Neodiprion lecontei: one gene and its partner. The protein of the gene in region 1 interacts with the protein of each later gene in a biochemical or structural test. Links are inferred from orthologs where the notes say so. Each region holds a gene or a part of one and is shown on either strand. Other genes may lie near its edges.

Region 1 (7,834 bases):
TGATGCCAATACTTGTAATAAATTAATGTACCAATTTATCTAAGGAAATAACAGCGTACAATACTATGATAGTTTTCATTATAAATATTAGGAAGCACGTAGAACAGAGAACTGTTTGCCACAAGATATTTTCTGGAATAACGCAATTTTATAATTATTATTTGTAAAAATACGCAAAATGAATAAATTTTTATATTTATACTAAATACGTAAAATTTTACTATCATCTAATGCCTGTTGGTGATACAGCAATGTTAACTTAGGAGGTATTTCTCATTAATTAAATTATAATATTCAATATGAGAGCACATTGGTTTATTCACTTCCATACAAATATGCAAACCTATATTAAATGTAATGCTATAAAAAAAAAAAAAAATTCACAGTCAACGTCATCTGCACTAGATTGACTTAAAAAAAAAGTAATAAATAAATTCTGGAAAAGATTTTGACAAAGGTGGACGTTGTAAAGTAATACAACTTTACAATGGTACACGATTTCTACGTAGGTATAAAAATATACAAGATTATTCTATCCGTGATTATGTGTTCTTAGTGAAAAAAGTACGTGTACTAATGTCAGTTTGACTATATGGTTAACTATATAATACTACATATTTATTATCTAAAAAAATAGTGCAACGTCGTTGATACACTTTATTTTTATAACTCCAATTTGATATTTCATTATTTCAAAATTGATTCGTGCTGCTATACCTGATGATATTTACTTCAATAAGGCAAATATTTAGATATCCCTCCAAACCTGATAGACAAATCAATTGCAAAAAAACTCGAATAAGTCATTTGTAATTAGTATATCGATGAATACTGCCAGTTTATAAATTGAGATACTCGACCTCATTGTCATCATTTGTGACACGAAACTGTTTTCAATCTCACTATAATCCGGAAATTTCCTGCATCACGGACTCAATGATTAAAAGCTTATGCATACTACGGGAGGTGCGAATCTATTGTCTTACCTATCCATACGAAATTAGAAATCTATCCTTCTCCATCTCTACTTATTTGTTGTTTTCTTTTTGTTTTGTTGTTTGTGTTTTTTTTTTTGGCACATCGGTATGTATGGTAGGTAGTGTAAGTGCAGAATCACTCAAACTAAAACTATTAAATGCTAGTTATTGAGTTACGAGATATGTATTGGGTGATATCTGTTTTGTCGATTTAAAAAAAAAACTCACCGCGTACTAAAAGTGCATACTTCTAAAATGAGCTGATCATGGGAAAGTTACGCAACAATATTATTCAAGACAATTCGAAACCCATCCGATACACTTCTCTGCCTTCATAAGGACAAAACTTGGCCAGCAAGATCACCGGGATGTGCAGGTAGCAGAGATCCATTGTTTTACAATGCTTGAAGCGCAATGTCGACACGTTGATATGGGTATACATATGTATGTAAGCATGCTCAGGCGTCGGGCAAGACAGTTTCTCGTGCAAACATTAGCCTGAAGCGTCATACTGCAAATCAAATAAAGGCAAGTTAATGTTGCTAGATTAAAAGATTTTTTTTTAAAACTTCGGTCAGCATTGAATAAGACGTATTTTCACCTGAGTAAAAAATCTAGCTACTCTCGGCGTTGTATTAGATGCATCCCAATAGCAAATCGTATATGTACACAATATTATGTACAAACGGAAAAAACAAAACAACTCACCTCAAACTATATGTTTTTTAGTACGCCGGTACATGTGTTCGTTGAAATAAATAACTTTCAAAGTGTTACCTTTAGCAGTGACCATTTGGTTTGAGGATAAAAAAAATATGTGCCTGAATATCAAAGTAATTCAATCTTTCATATCGTAAAACAGTGCGACAAAGGGTTATTAAGAACAAATAATGTTAATATTTCATCGGTAAATTTTTAAATCACGACACCACTACTATTAAAAAATGTGATATCAGATATGTGCTGGGTAAATAGTAAAATGGTAAAAATGTAATTGCATGTAGTACAATTTTCGGTTTAATATGAATAACAATGATTGAAAAAAACGGATTCACTTGAATCAACCGATGATACTGGACACGATTTATTTTCTAAATTGACTTTATATTTAATTCGTGTATATAATGTTTCTATAAGAATATTGTTTGTATAACAGTAAGTAAAGTTAACATATGTAGTAAAAAAATTAAGTATAGTTGCGATTCCATATTTAATTTGTGTAAAATAATTTACATTGAGTGACGTATCGCTATTACACTAATAATATTATAATAGATTGTAGATCCCTAGATTCACGAAAAAAATATTCATTACTAGAGAAATTTTATTGCAGTTCTTTTTTTTTTAATGAGGTATTAAAAAATAGAATATAATGAATTTTTATTAGTGAAACTAGGTTTTGAGAACGCATAATTATAATCTATTCATTCATTTATACAACTGTACACACTTTTTATCTCTCTATCACGCTCGATTCTATTACTTCGTCTAGCAGAAAACAATTAGGAAACAAAGTTTAAAAAAAATATGTGTATATCAATAAAACTATACCGAAGCGTTAGAAGTTTTGCTGACGCTTTCGCTTGGTATCCATGGCATCAAGAATTGGCTGCCTCTTTGTCTGGTACCTCCGTCTTAATTCATCTATCTCACGTTCCATTTCTGCATCCAGGCTGGCCATGCGTTGCTGCAGCTCCTCGTATGAGAGGAACTTCAGCTGAAGGACATGCTTGTTTATCTATATTGAATTTTCGTTATGATGCCTATGACTGCGTTTTTTAAATACATTTATATTGAAACATGTTTAGTTATAATTTCAATAATGAAGCTGATGGGTCTTCCCATGATCCAAATGTATCTATTGACGTCAATTATGCAGTAGAAAGTTTGTTATTCTTTACAGTGGGAAAAATTTAAGAATATACTTACAAAATCAAAGTCTCGTTCTGTGAAGGCATTTTGAAATTTCGATATGTTATTGTGAGCCGGCTCTTGCACAGGACATGATATTTGATTGAGTTGTAGCTGTAGATGGCTTTGAAACCTTTGAGATTCTGTTGGACTCTGTTGTTCCACTTTAGGTTCTGTTTCTGTACTATGTGCGGCAAGAATGTGGCCATTGTCCTGAGAATAAGAAACAAAATCTCCTTTAAAAGTGCCAATACTCCATAACAAAAACGGAACACTGAGAAAGTTACAATAAATTTGAACTCACATTGCCAATCTCAGTTGCTTCCTTCTTGTCAAAATGATCAAGAAATAAGGGACGATACTTCTTTCCAGACTCCACTGATCCTGTGTTATGCCCTGTAGAAGGTAAATTAACCATTTGAAGACAATGTCTTGCTCCATAAGTCAAAAGCAGTATACCCACTTTTCATCGTTGCTTCTGTGTCCGTGTCACTATTAATAACCATTGTTCCTAGATCCAACATTGCAGAAACTAGAGTGCCTGTGTCAGGGAGATCTACACCTGGTACCAAGGTCCCGACATCTTCTGGAAGGGGTTTCATAGTTCCACTGCAGTCTTCTTCGTCCTTCAGGTGAGAAAATTCAATGAGCAATGTGAAAAAATAATTGACTTTGTAAATTGTTGAGTAGTGAATCGAGATGGAAGTATTTTTTACCGAATCATCAGCATGATTTTTTCCCTTAATAGCCACATTATTAATAACGTGTGCTCGGTTGGTCTGTTTTTCTCTAATTTCATGTGCCTCCGCTATCATTTGACTAAGGATACTTGGCTGCTTCGCATTGCCTTCAACAGTTCAATAGTGAAATTGATATAAGTAAAAGAAAACCTGAGTTTTGTTAACAAGTATATCAAAGATATTTATTGTCATTGGTATTAAATTTGAATTTGTTTGTTTTTGATATGTAAAACTCATACTATAAAAAAATGTCAAGGCAGTCCTGAGTTACATGTATCGTGATTCGGGTTGTTTCATTAATTACTGACTTGAGACTTAATTCAATTACTTGCATGAAACACAGTACGACTACCTATAAATTCATGACTGAGCAGTTCAGTGGCTGTCGCCCTTTCTTCAGGGTTTTTGACGAGACAGCCACTAACGAATTCTATGAACTCTGCACTCCATTTGTCAGGTTCTCTAAAACTTGGTGGGGGTTTGGTGGGGATCATGAAAATTGCACGCATTGGATGAATGTCACCATATGGTGGCTTTCCTTCTGCCATTTCTAGAGCTGTTATACCCAATGACCATATATCCGCGACGCAATCGTATCCAATCTCCTGAATTACCTCCGGTGCCATCCAGAACGGAGTTCCGATAACAGTGTTGCGCTTAGCCATAGTATCCTATAAACAAGTGGGCCAACATTTTTTTAAAATTCGCAACACTGATTGTAAGTAAATGTGGATGAATTTTTTTTTTTTCTTTGCTTTCCGTCTAATTAGGTGTCAAATTTTTCTGTTTCTTTGTTAATTTGTTTCACCGTTAACTGTCCAGCTACACCAAAATCAGCCAGCTTAGCATGCCCCTCAGTATTGAGTAAGATGTTTCCGGCTTTGATGTCCCTGTGGATTTTCCTCCTAAGATGGAGGTATTCAAGACCCTTAAGAGTATCACATAATATCGTAGCTATCTCATCCTCTTGCAGGGTTTTCTTCCTCAGCCTCATTATATCACTGACAGAACCGGCGCCACAATACTCCATAACAATCTGTAATAACAAATCATTTCACTATCATTGTTCGAACCGATAACATTCACGTAACTCACGAAATTCAATTCATACCCATAAATCCGTGTTCTTGAAGTAACTTCCATAGTATTTCACTACATACGGTGAATCGCATTGCTGCATTATTGAAATCTCCTTTATTATCTCCTGTAAATCCGTATCCACAGGTACTTGCTTGATCGCAAGCACCTGCCCGCTCTCTTTGTGCAATGCTTTATAAACGGAACCATAAGATCTGAAACAAACATTGAGCCATATCTTAAAAGACATCCAAATTATACTAAATTAGTATGGCACACTAATAATTAGATTACTAAGTAGAATTCTCTCAAAGTAACGCTCACCCTTCACCAAGCTTGCAGATTATGTCAAAAACCTCTTCGGGTTGTCGTGTCAAGCTTTCCTCGGATAACTTTTTCAACTCACTGTAAAGGTAGAAGGAATTTTTTAGCGTCTGTTCAAAATTTTAATCTCTCTGATTGTAAGATGGCTTTGTCATATTGTTTCTAAAAATAAAGTAATCCAATGTCATGTTTGACAGACATAGAGGTTGGACTTAAATCAAAGGTGGTTCATTAGAGATTGGAATGACGTATTGTAAATATTTGACAAGATTTGCGTACATACTATCTGTTTGCAAAACCTGAGAAGTAAAATAAAGATTGACCCAAAGGCAAGTTTGGAGTGGGAATATATTTTTCCGTTAGTTCATTCCTTGAGAGAATGGACCTTGGAGTCAGACTAGACATGTATGAAATTCATTAATGCAACTTAATCGGTTGAAGAACATAACAAATATATTGTGAACGGAGTAAGCAATGAAGAGTAGTTTACAGTGACAAAGGTTAACAAAGAAAGAAAACAATTTTAGGTTTTCGATAGTACTGTTATTGCTAATTTGTAAATATGTAATTTTCGAGTGAAATGGAGATTGTTTGGAATAATTTACAGCTTAACTGTCTTTCTAATTATTGTTTTGAATCGTCGGCATCATTTCGAAAATTGGAACTATTTTGACGCATACATATAAGGGTAGGATTCATTCGGGTCCAGATAAAAAAAAGGAAAACAATTAAATAAATATACATATATACCTTTTAGAAGACATCTTCGTTTTTACGTCAGTCTAATATTAACTTGGATAAAAAAAAAAGAACACACATTCACTACGCAAATAACGAACTAATACGTCAAAAATACACTATACGTTGATAATAAAATCATATTCAATTCAAATAACTAATATTACATTTTTTGACAATAAAATTAATTTTAACCACAACTGAAATATCGAAACCCTTGATCAAGACGTCCATAGACTTTCAACTCTTATTTGTCTGTAACCGAAGCAAATATATATTTATTGACTAGCTGTATAGTTAGACTGCCTTAGTTCATTATAACTCCGACTGATGTCAGAGTGAGGGGCCGAATAATTACTTCAGTCAAAGTTTCAAACGTTTCAAGCGTTTCAATCGAGCATTTTACAGTCGAAAGGTCTTTACAACTCATTATCTTTAATCACAGCTACCGTATGAAGGAAAATTAATCAATTATGAAACACATTAATCATCGATATTCTTGCAAGTAACAATCGGAGACTTTTTATCTGTGCCTAAATAAGAGTGGCTTTTCACACGGTATTATTCTCATCCTGAATAACGGTACAGAGGATAGCCTACGAGGGAAGAGAAAGAAGAAAAACAGAATTACGATGCCAATTAAGACCGATGTTACCGTGATGCAAAAATCGGTTACGTCTGATCATATTCTATTTCTCCCTAGATGCCCTGTTCGATTTCAACGTTCACGGATATATCTCCAAATATCAAAGGCCACGTATCTCGAAAACGAAAAAATACTTAATAGCCTTATTTTATACACAGTTCTGAACAAAAACAGTCCTAGACATTTTTCATTTGACGCAGAAATAAAGAAATGGCCCAGATTCTACGAAATCGAACAGTCAAATCGTAGAATTCATACCATATATTTCTTTATTTCTGCATCAAATGAAAATGTATTGGAGTGTTTTTGTTCGAAATAGCGTACAAAATAGGGCTGTTAATCCTTCGTTCGTGTGTGAGATAGGTGGACTTTGATATTTAGATCAGAACCTATGTTCAACTCGTCAGCTTTCGAACATTGTAATTGTTGCAAACAAGCGTTCGATTATCTCTCTTCCAAATCATGGATTTTCGAAACTCCCGCGTCTACGAGTCCGAAGTGAGCGGTGTATCGTTTAACGGGCAGGCTAGCAGGCGAGCACGTAAGCCTCTCGTCGGAAATCCAAACTACTCTCGGCGAGCCAGCCGTGATCAGTGTGCGTGCGGTGCTCGTAGAGTATGGCGGTAGGGTTTAGAGGAGGTAGCGTTGTCGGGGCGATCGCGATCCATCGTATGTGCCGCGTAGGAATTAGTGACCTGCAGCAGGAGGGTTGTAACAAGCAAGTGTGTATTCCCTGAATGATAAAACGGGGACCGTTCCTAGCGTTGTGCGGTTGACAAAGAAAAGTTGAATCGTGAAGTAAGCGGTTCAATCGGACTACAGTTGTATCAAGACATCTGAACGATGTTCACAGTTCCGCTGGATCGATAACAACAATGGAATTACTTGTTATCGCGTAAGAAAGAGAATGTGCGTGCGCGCGCTGCCGCTGCTCCTGGTGCTGCTGCTGCTACCCATCGTCGTCGATTCCTCCGCGGTCACCACACTACAATCACGCTAGCAACGCCGCTACCTCCACCTCCTCACCAACACGACGATAGATCCTTATGTACCTACCCACCTACGTACGTACATATATTCCCCTCCACCTAAAATCTTGAAGAAAAAGCAACAGGCCAGGCCAGGCCACACGCCTTGCCTGGGCACGGCGTTTCAGCGACGCGGCGCATAGTTAAGATCCAGACTGGTGTCTGTCTCTTCTTGTGCGCGGCACTGTGTCTTGATCGGTCGGACAGTCGGTCGGTCGGTCGGTCGGTCCTCCGGTCGGAGACGGTCGTCTCTTGTTTTGCCCCTCTTCCTCCGCCTAGCCTCTTTATGCGTAGCAGTAGTATTAGTAATAGACGTAGTTTAATTATTCACCGGTGTATCAACAGATCTAGTGCATCGTTCCTCGTCTCCCTCGGAGTTCGTCCTGATTTAAA
Region 2 (8,540 bases), on another chromosome or scaffold:
ATTTTTTTTTTTGTCAAACTCTCAAATCCAATCTTCAGAACGATTTTATTCTTAATATTTTTTATACTTGAAAGCTCTTGATGTCCAGCCTACTGCAAAAATTTATTAGTGATTCCATTTCAATTTCACTAAAAGTTCAACGGTAGCTAAACTATAAAGCAGGAAAATTGAGGGAAATTGATTAAAAAATTTACTGAGATAATAAGCATTATTATTTATATTTGCAGCGGATCTTTGTTTCTCGTGCTGCTGTTTAGCGGATCGTGGTTTAAAATTGTTCGAATTTCAAATTCTGCCGTAACGACCAACATCAATTCTCCCGCGACTCACGTGGTAAGGTGTCAACTTTTTGATCGATAGCCTAAAATCTATCATAATTGTGTGATAATTAGCTCCGAAAATATGAAATAATGATTAAAAATTGAAGAATCTCGTAGGACCGATGAGAAAATCGACCAAAGTTTAGACATTTAGGTATATCCAAAAAATACATGCTTTCAGTGTGCACGCGGCGTTGATTAAAGGCAGGCGCGTAGTTAGGTGATCCAGAGATTAGCGCCGGGCGATAGGTGCGCTTTATTATTAAAATTGTAAATTGATAACGAGGTGATTACAACAGGATTACATAAAAAGCAGGGCGTACGTGAGAACTTTCATGCTCACAATATTAACGGATATTTTGAGACGCAACCACTGTTCACGTGTTCATATCTCGGTTAAGTATCAGGGTGTGGCGCCTTCCACATCCGTTCCTATCGCTGTCGAGCATACCATATTTTTAATTTAATATATAAAGCTCAGGAAAATATGATTATTAACAAGACAAGATGATCTGTTTTTTCTTCATTTGATAACCGCACTGACGGCCGTTGTGGGGACGGAAATTACGCGATATTCTTACACGGCGTCATTTTTGAATGATGAATACATCGACATACCTCGAAGTATAATTCGAGCGCCAAAAAAGACGGGAGGGGCCCAAGGACAATGAATATAAAGACATCGCTTGAAATGAGCTGATGACGGTCGATTCTAAGAAATTGTGATACGCAATATATTGCCGCTTCGTTCATTTATATTTATTTTCGCAATTTCCGCCTTTAATCGCTTTACTCGCGAAAATATAATAATATCCTTCAATATATTGCATAAAAGACACCTGATGCCCCTTGGATCGTTTCCACGTCATTTATAAATGATTTTTCATCTATTACGATTATATTGCGTCTATTATACAAAGCGAATAATTAATCCTTCTGTAGCTTACATATATCTATCTATGTGTTGCTGACGTAGTTGATATTAAGTGTGATTGTATAATCGTAGAGCCAGGCACGGAGTGCACGGACGCATGTCATTTGTTTTTTCCGATATTTTTTTGAAAACGGTTTATTGCAAGAAACATTAAGGAAGACAAATAAACAGTGGATCAACTGTTTTGAGAAATGTAAAATATAATTTGATTTGTAAAAATATAATGTTCAAAATTCACAAAGAATTGCAGATAGGTAAGTCATCATTTTACTGCGGATTTTTTCCAGTACATAATATTGTAGATAAAAATGCTACCGCAGTGCGATAACGAATATTGGAATTTGTGCAAGATTATACAGCTGATTGTGAGTGAATGACCCCGAAATATATTATATATTTTCTATGCATACAATGACGAACGAATAACGAGGAATTTACCGGATGTACAATATCTGACCACATATCTTCGTAAATAAAGCTGATATTTTCGCTAATCGTATTACTCATTCGCATTCATTTTCATTATCTAAGTCCTACAGCCGCAGACCTGGTTCATCTGTTAATGCGCAAGGTCTTGTACCTACTAATTATCACATGCAAAGTAGTTTAAATAAGACTGTGATTTTTCGAATGAAATGATAATACTAAGAATAGCGTCAAATAAACACGCCTTATATTGGGCTTGTGTGAAATAGTACATGGAAAATACAACCGATCATATTTCAATGTCGTATTATTCGAATGATTCAAAGTAGAACAGTCGATACTCGCAGAAATTGAGCACAGGAGAAAATCGATTTTTAGGGCTATTTGTGCTGGTCCAGAAGGGTCGAACGATCGCATGCTCCGACTTATAACCGATACGAGAACTTTGCGGTCCGTCTTATCGATCCCAGTCGACGTCGGTAAAACAGAACTAAAAGCGATCGAGCACACGGAAATATTTACTCAAAAACCTTCCCGCGTGAATGTTCGTGCTGTGTTACAAGTCCACGATTTCCTCAGTGACTCGTTGAACTGCAGCATAGTGAAACGATCGCGTTCGTTGCTCGTGTTCGCCTCACGGTAAGCTTGCATGGCCTATAATACTATTTTAAAATCGCGGTTATAAAATTATTATATCCGCCGGAAGTTGAGTGATCATAACGCGCCGCCAGCTGGGTGTGTCATACAAATATTCGCTATACTCGGCAAAAAAAAACTTATCGCGTTCCACGATGTTAAAATTACCAGTTTGAACAGCCTTTGTGTTAAATACCAAAAGACTCGGTATATATATAATCTCCAGTCAATTAAACAAACTTCGAGCCGTGACCGATAGATTCGCAGAAACGTCAAGATAATCAAACCAAAAATATTATTTTCTTGAGAACAGTCTACAGCTTATATCGATGACACTTCACACCTTATCGTCGATACGTCGATAATCGCTTTGTCCGCATACAAAATCACCCGTCGAAATATCGAACGAAATCAGAAATTACGTCGAAACGACAGATGGTGTAGTTTCGTTCTCAATCTTTCGCGATAGTGGTTACGCTATCTGCTATCCATTCGTTAGTTAACGATTTTTCGACGCTCGAACATGCACCCGCCATTTCAAAATTCAATGAAGCTCGAGGGCGGGCAGGAAGGGAGGGGGAAAGGAATTCCTCTTTTTTTTTCCTCGAACTGAGACCCTTTCCGTTGGGCTTCCCAGCACCCGTCAATGGGGCCTTTGTACCTACGCTCGACTCCGTTCGTGCGTTTGTACCTCGTGTATGAGAGCGTGTGACTCGACGTCACGTCGCGGTGAATGTAAATAACTTAGCCTGGCTCATATCATTATTGTTATAGACAAGGCAGGCAGCTGTACACGCACACACAAACACAGCTATACCGTTGGTTGCACACATTGTCGAGGCTTCACGAGATTCTGAATAATCGCCCACGTCATCGAAATTCTGCCGGTTGGTGATATGCGTAATGAAATCATGCATTCTGCCATATCGTTTCTTTTCATTCCTTTGCAATCATTTCCTGATTGTTGTTATATCGTTTCATGTACTACCGGTAACTAATGAACGTCAGCGTGCATCAATCGGTCGTCTATATACCCTTGTAAATACATACCTACCGTATGCCTTACATGCATGCAACATTCATCCTCGGCATGATCTCGTCTCACAGAAAGAAATCCCGGGCCGTGGTATGTGGAGATATAACATTTTCTACACACACAACGCTTTCACATCCTGTTGGTAGGGGAATGATACGTCGGGATAGGTTTGTGACTACAGAGCTCAAGAACTCTGTAATCTGCTTCGCAACCGACTGAAATTATCGTCGTTGTAATTTTTCGAAATAATTATCCTGGAAATTGTATCATGCTGTTAAACGTAGAAGTGAAATCGGTTTTCCTCAACTCCGACTCACCAGATATACCACAAAAATTATAAATAAGGAAATAAAATATATAAATGTATATTTTCCATATTTTTTCTCTATTACCAACGTTCTCGTAGATATTTCGAAACAAGAAAAAGTCGAGTCTTTCATAATCACTGAACATTAATCGTATATTTTATTTAACCGAGATGTAAAACACCAGCGTAGTTGGAAGGACAGTGTCAAATTTAATCGGCACCGTGACTGTAAAGGTCACCTTTTTTTCTCCGAACTCATTTTATCCAACATTATTTATATCTAGAGTCGAGGTAATCGCTATATACGGATCAACAAATGCGCGTAAACTTGATTCCGTTCTGCGTGGGATTCCGTAATGAAAAGAAAAGAAAAAAAAAGACAGAGAAAAAAATAAGCCGTATTTGCTGAACATTAGCAAAATACCACAATGCTGGGTTAAAAACCCCATATAAGTATATTCCCAACAACTATTATATCCATACATAGTAGGTATACGTTTGTAGTAGTTCTACGAATTGAGAACGGAATACAGCGGATAACACAGGCGTATAGGTCACATACTATACGGTAAAAATCTATGATAAATCGAGTGATTTTGTCGGAAATTTTATTACTTGTCCGGTTCTTCTGCAAAATATGTAACGTTTTTACTAACAACGGTGAGTAAAACATCTACAGAGTATGCGATAAAAATTGTTGTATAAATAGAGAGAGAGAGAGAGAGGTGAGAGAGAAAAGGTCTTGATATGGTTGATAGGACGCATCCTGACTACCCACGGACGAACTCGAGAGTTTGGCAACGTTGCCGGATCGAAAACTTTCTGTCTTGTTAGGCTTCGCGCGTGTGTGCGCCTATATACGTACAAGCCCGCCGCTACGCGCCGTACGCTCGCCCAGGCGCCTCACGACCGCTGCACAACCTAGAGTACGAGAACGAGACGCCAGGCAAATTCAGGCGGTAGTTTCACACAACCGTACCACTCGATCCCGCTCTCTCTCCGCTTTGTAAGGCCTGCGCGAAGCGCGATCGTCATAGCCGCATACCCGACATGGAAGTACCCGAGTCCTCGCGCGTTCTGCGGTTTTAAAACATTGATAAATTCATTGTAAATTCACCTCGGTCATCGATCATTCTACGTACGTATTTATCGTGCCCGATGACGTCTCTGGAACAATAACAAATTTCAAAATTACCGTAAGTTTATTGTTTCTTTCCCTCGCCGCTAGACAACCTATTTACTTTTTATTTTCTTTTTATTTTTATTGTTATTATCATTATTATATCTTTTCTTACAACACCTTATAATTGCGAGATCGCGGTAAGTGTATTGACAAAGGTAAAAGTTGGCCGTGTCCGCCCATTCAAGCTCTTCCCCCATCCCCACCCCCCCGATCCCCTCCTCAACCCTTCTTTACCACTATTACGATCCCTTCCAGCGCCTCTTTGCGTAAAAATTAGTCGTACATCATTTTTGCCCCGGATGCGGACGTATGTTTTGTACATGCATACATGTTATTGTCGTTTAATTTTTATCCAAGTACCGGAAACTAAAGAAAGGTCACACAAAGTACGTTTTTGATTCCTGGGGTTCGCTTTATTGTAGAAAGAAGCAGCTGCGGCGATTTATTCAAAAGCGATGATACGGACTGTGTCGGCCTGTGCTAATTTAACGACAAAGAAAAACCGTTGATGCAGATTCGGACTTCTAAAACTCAGACTGAAAGCAAGCAAGAGTCTTTTTTGCTCATTTTCAATCCGTTAAAATTTCAATTGAATATTTTTTTTTTTCTCCTACTTAACACCAATTACTGCAAGTCCAAAACGTTGTTAGAACAAACAAAGATGATATACTAGAATCAAAAGAGGAATGACATAAGCACACAATGAGTAATACACAGAGAAAGGTGGGGATTCGAGTAGACAGAGATGCGAATGCACCGCTTGAGCAATAATAATAATATTAGTTTTCTTCTTGTTTGTCTTCAGATTCAGGTAAGCACCACAAAGATTGTCTTCAACACATTCTTTGCACATTTAACTGCCTTCAAATGACTGATTGCTGTCAGTCTCGTTATGGTGGGTACTCGGCGATGAACACGCCCGGGTTCAGAGACTCGCGGCGTTGCTGTCAACCACCCCTGCCGCCGTTACGTTGTGAACCTCCCGATGAAACAGACGATCGTAATGATTTCCGGTTTGAATCTGCGCGTAGAAGAAGCTTCGCAAATTGGCCGGTCAGGTTCATGGATCCGAAGAGATTGGCGGAGGCCGGGTTTTACTATCTCAACGAAGGTGATAAAGTAAGGTGTTTCGAATGTAAAATTGAAATTTGCAAGTGGGTCGAGGGTGACGATCCTCAATTCGAACACCAGAGATGGTCCGAAAGATGCAGATTTGTCAGGAGATTACCGTGCGGTAATGTACCTTACGGCACTGACGGTGCAAACATTTTTTCTGCTCCTCGAACCACAGACGTCTGTGGCCCCTATGGATTCAATGTTGAGTCGGAACTTGGACCCAACCTCAGCTCATCCCCACCGAACCTTCAGCATACCGTAAGCACTGCAACCCTTGGGAGCTGGGGGATCGGTATGCCCAAGGAGCCCAAACATCCACAATATGTCAGCCGCGACGCAAGGCTAAGGACCTTCAACTTTTGGCCAAAATCTATGAGACAGACGAAAGAGGAATTGGCTGATGCAGGATTTTTCTACACTGGCAAAGGAGATCAGACACTCTGCTACTACTGTGGTGGCGGTCTTAAAGATTGGGAGCCAACTGACAATGCATGGGAACAACACGCCCACTGGTTTTCCAAGTGCTTTTATCTATTCATGGTAAAAGGACAAGCCTTCATTGACCAAGTCAAAGGTCTCACCAGGGAACAGCCTTCAGCCGAGGTGAATATTATAACTTGCACCTTCTGCTGTCAAATAAAAAATATTTTTATGCCGAGGGTCATTAAATCAATCACTTTTGGAGAAAAAGCGTGTATCACTATTTGCCATTTCGTGATTTTGTAATTTTCTTTTCACTGTTATAAAACATTTCACTTACATTGCACCACTTTGTAAGATTGTGAAAGCATCGTTGGAGCGGGAAAAACTAATATCCAGGGTGTTTGTAGAAGTTAAAAGTTTGAAATACAAAGTGCCTGTTAAAGTTGGAGTTCAGTAAGAATGTACGTTTCCTTTCACAAAGTGCACAGAAGAGAATATTCATTGTAGTGGGTCTAAATATTTTAGACTTATTTATCTCATGTGAGTTCTTGAATACTTTTTTCAAAAGAAAATGATAGCCGGACGCAAACTTGAAAGCCTATTGTTTATCAAGTAATTCATTCTGCTTCCAGGAAGCGCAGAACTTGACTCTACCAAACTGCATAAAGAAGGTGGAGAGGCCTATAGAAGCTGAGCCTGAAGAACATTGTCCAATTGCTGAGACTGGCGAATCTGGAGAAAGTTGTAGTAAAAGTGGTTCATTAGAGTTGGGACCACATAAAAGCGAGGGTTCTATGCATCACAACCTGGAGAACGATGAAAAGAGAGCGGATGACGGAAGGCTTTGCAAAATTTGCTACACGGAAGAACTGGGAGTTGTATTTTTACCTTGTGGGCACATGGTAGCCTGTGTCAAGTGCGCGCCAAGTTTGACAACTTGTGCAGTATGCCGGAAACCTTTCACAATGACTGTGCGGGCTTACATTTCATAGCTTTTCATCATAAAATAAACTATAAATTCAACAAAATGCCAGAATAATGTCTAGCATTACTATACCTTTCGCCAAGACATGACTCTTGGCATATCAATGAAGTGAAGGCACAGTTCATCAAAGTTCAAAGACATTTTGTGATTTATTTTCTTTAGTTGCCAGCTGTTCTTATTGTCAATCAAGATCCTGAGAGCTGGAAGTTCGGATTGATCAGTCTTGCTTTAAAACATTAGACGCGTCATCTTTTATGTTTCTTTTCTTTTAGTTTTTTTTATTCCGTTCAAAACAATATTTTTTTTTCTCTGTGTCCCGAATTCGTTTTTCTTTTTCTCTGAAAATTTGATGAAGTTTATATATTTTGTATCTGAAGAAAAAGAAGAAAAAATTCGTAATCTTCAGCATATTCGGTACATTGTTTGTGATTGAGATACATTTCGTATCAAATATGTAATTGTGCCTCCGGCGAAAAATTACGACTGCTTGTGAAAACACTAACATGTTAACAAAATCAGTAACAATATCATTCTCGCTATACCTTTATACTAACCGATCCTTGATGTAATGTTCATGGCTTATATTCATACTGCACATAACACTATTTCGGTAATGAGATTTCTGTAGCAATTATATGTGATTCGGAAAACAAAGGCAATTGGACAAAGTAACATGAACAACATTATGTTTATTTTATTTATTTTTTTCAAAAAAATGTGTTTTCACTTTAAATGGGGAAAAATAGCAACTTGACTCTTGACTATGTACATATTCAAAGCACAATGATCTCATGAGAAATTGTGATTGGTAATTACTTACCACCCGGAATATTATTTTGGTTTAGAATTTTTTTTTTTTATTTAACGTAGTGATACAAAAACATAGGAGAGAGAATTAAATTTTCAAAAGCATTCACACTCACCTGTATATTACCAACTGGCATTTGCGGTATCATTCTAGTAAGCACTTAGTGCAAAATAAACAAGATCAAACTGTACACGTTGAACCAACTGTACAGTAAATAAATTATTAACTTTTGATCTACCTTAATAATTAAGCATTTAAGCAATTATTTAATTGATGATTTTTTTATTTATTTTTTTTTTTTTTTTTGCTGCTTCAATAATTTAAGGCTTTTATTCGCGGGAGTTGGATCCATGTTCCAAGGGACAC

Evidence for each region. The genes of interacting proteins can lie anywhere in the genome.
Region 2: of the proteins of serine/threonine-protein kinase 3 (region 1) and death-associated inhibitor of apoptosis 1, one has a biochemical effect on the other in vitro, tested with the Drosophila melanogaster proteins (2 studies listed by BioGRID). The link is inferred for Neodiprion lecontei from reciprocal best matches to the Drosophila melanogaster genes hpo and Diap1.

What each region holds. Positions count from the first base shown.
Region 1 is NC_060261.1:34,662,310-34,670,143, forward strand, and holds serine/threonine-protein kinase 3, read right to left. Parts: upstream 5,450-7,834; 5' UTR 5,435-5,449; coding exon 5,313-5,434; intron 5,111-5,312; coding exon 5,030-5,110; intron 4,921-5,029; coding exon 4,740-4,920; intron 4,665-4,739; coding exon 4,437-4,664; intron 4,300-4,436; coding exon 3,981-4,299; coding exon of another isoform or gene 3,978-3,980; intron 3,739-3,977; coding exon 3,605-3,738; intron 3,515-3,604; coding exon 3,352-3,514; intron 3,285-3,351; coding exon 3,193-3,284; intron 3,102-3,192; coding exon 2,907-3,101; intron 2,716-2,906; coding exon 2,536-2,715; 3' UTR 2,529-2,535; exon of another isoform or gene 2,169-2,528; intron 1,489-2,168; 3' UTR 1,000-1,488; downstream 1-999. UniProt on the Drosophila melanogaster protein: Plays a key role in the Hippo/SWH (Sav/Wts/Hpo) signaling pathway, a signaling pathway that plays a pivotal role in organ size control and tumor suppression by restricting proliferation and promoting apoptosis.
Region 2 is NC_060266.1:19,436,247-19,444,786, forward strand, and holds the start of death-associated inhibitor of apoptosis 1, read left to right. Parts: upstream 1-1,793; 5' UTR 1,794-2,095; coding exon 2,096-2,319; intron 2,320-3,090; coding exon 3,091-3,203; intron 3,204-3,725; exon of another isoform or gene 3,726-4,855; intron 4,856-4,961; exon of another isoform or gene 4,962-5,565; intron 5,566-5,647; coding exon 5,648-6,561; intron 6,562-7,013; coding exon 7,014-7,373; 3' UTR 7,374-8,540. UniProt on the Drosophila melanogaster protein: Anti-apoptotic protein which functions as a caspase regulator, using its E3 ubiquitin-protein ligase activity to smother caspase activity. Binds, ubiquitinates and inactivates initiator caspase Dronc, and effector caspases Drice and Dcp-1.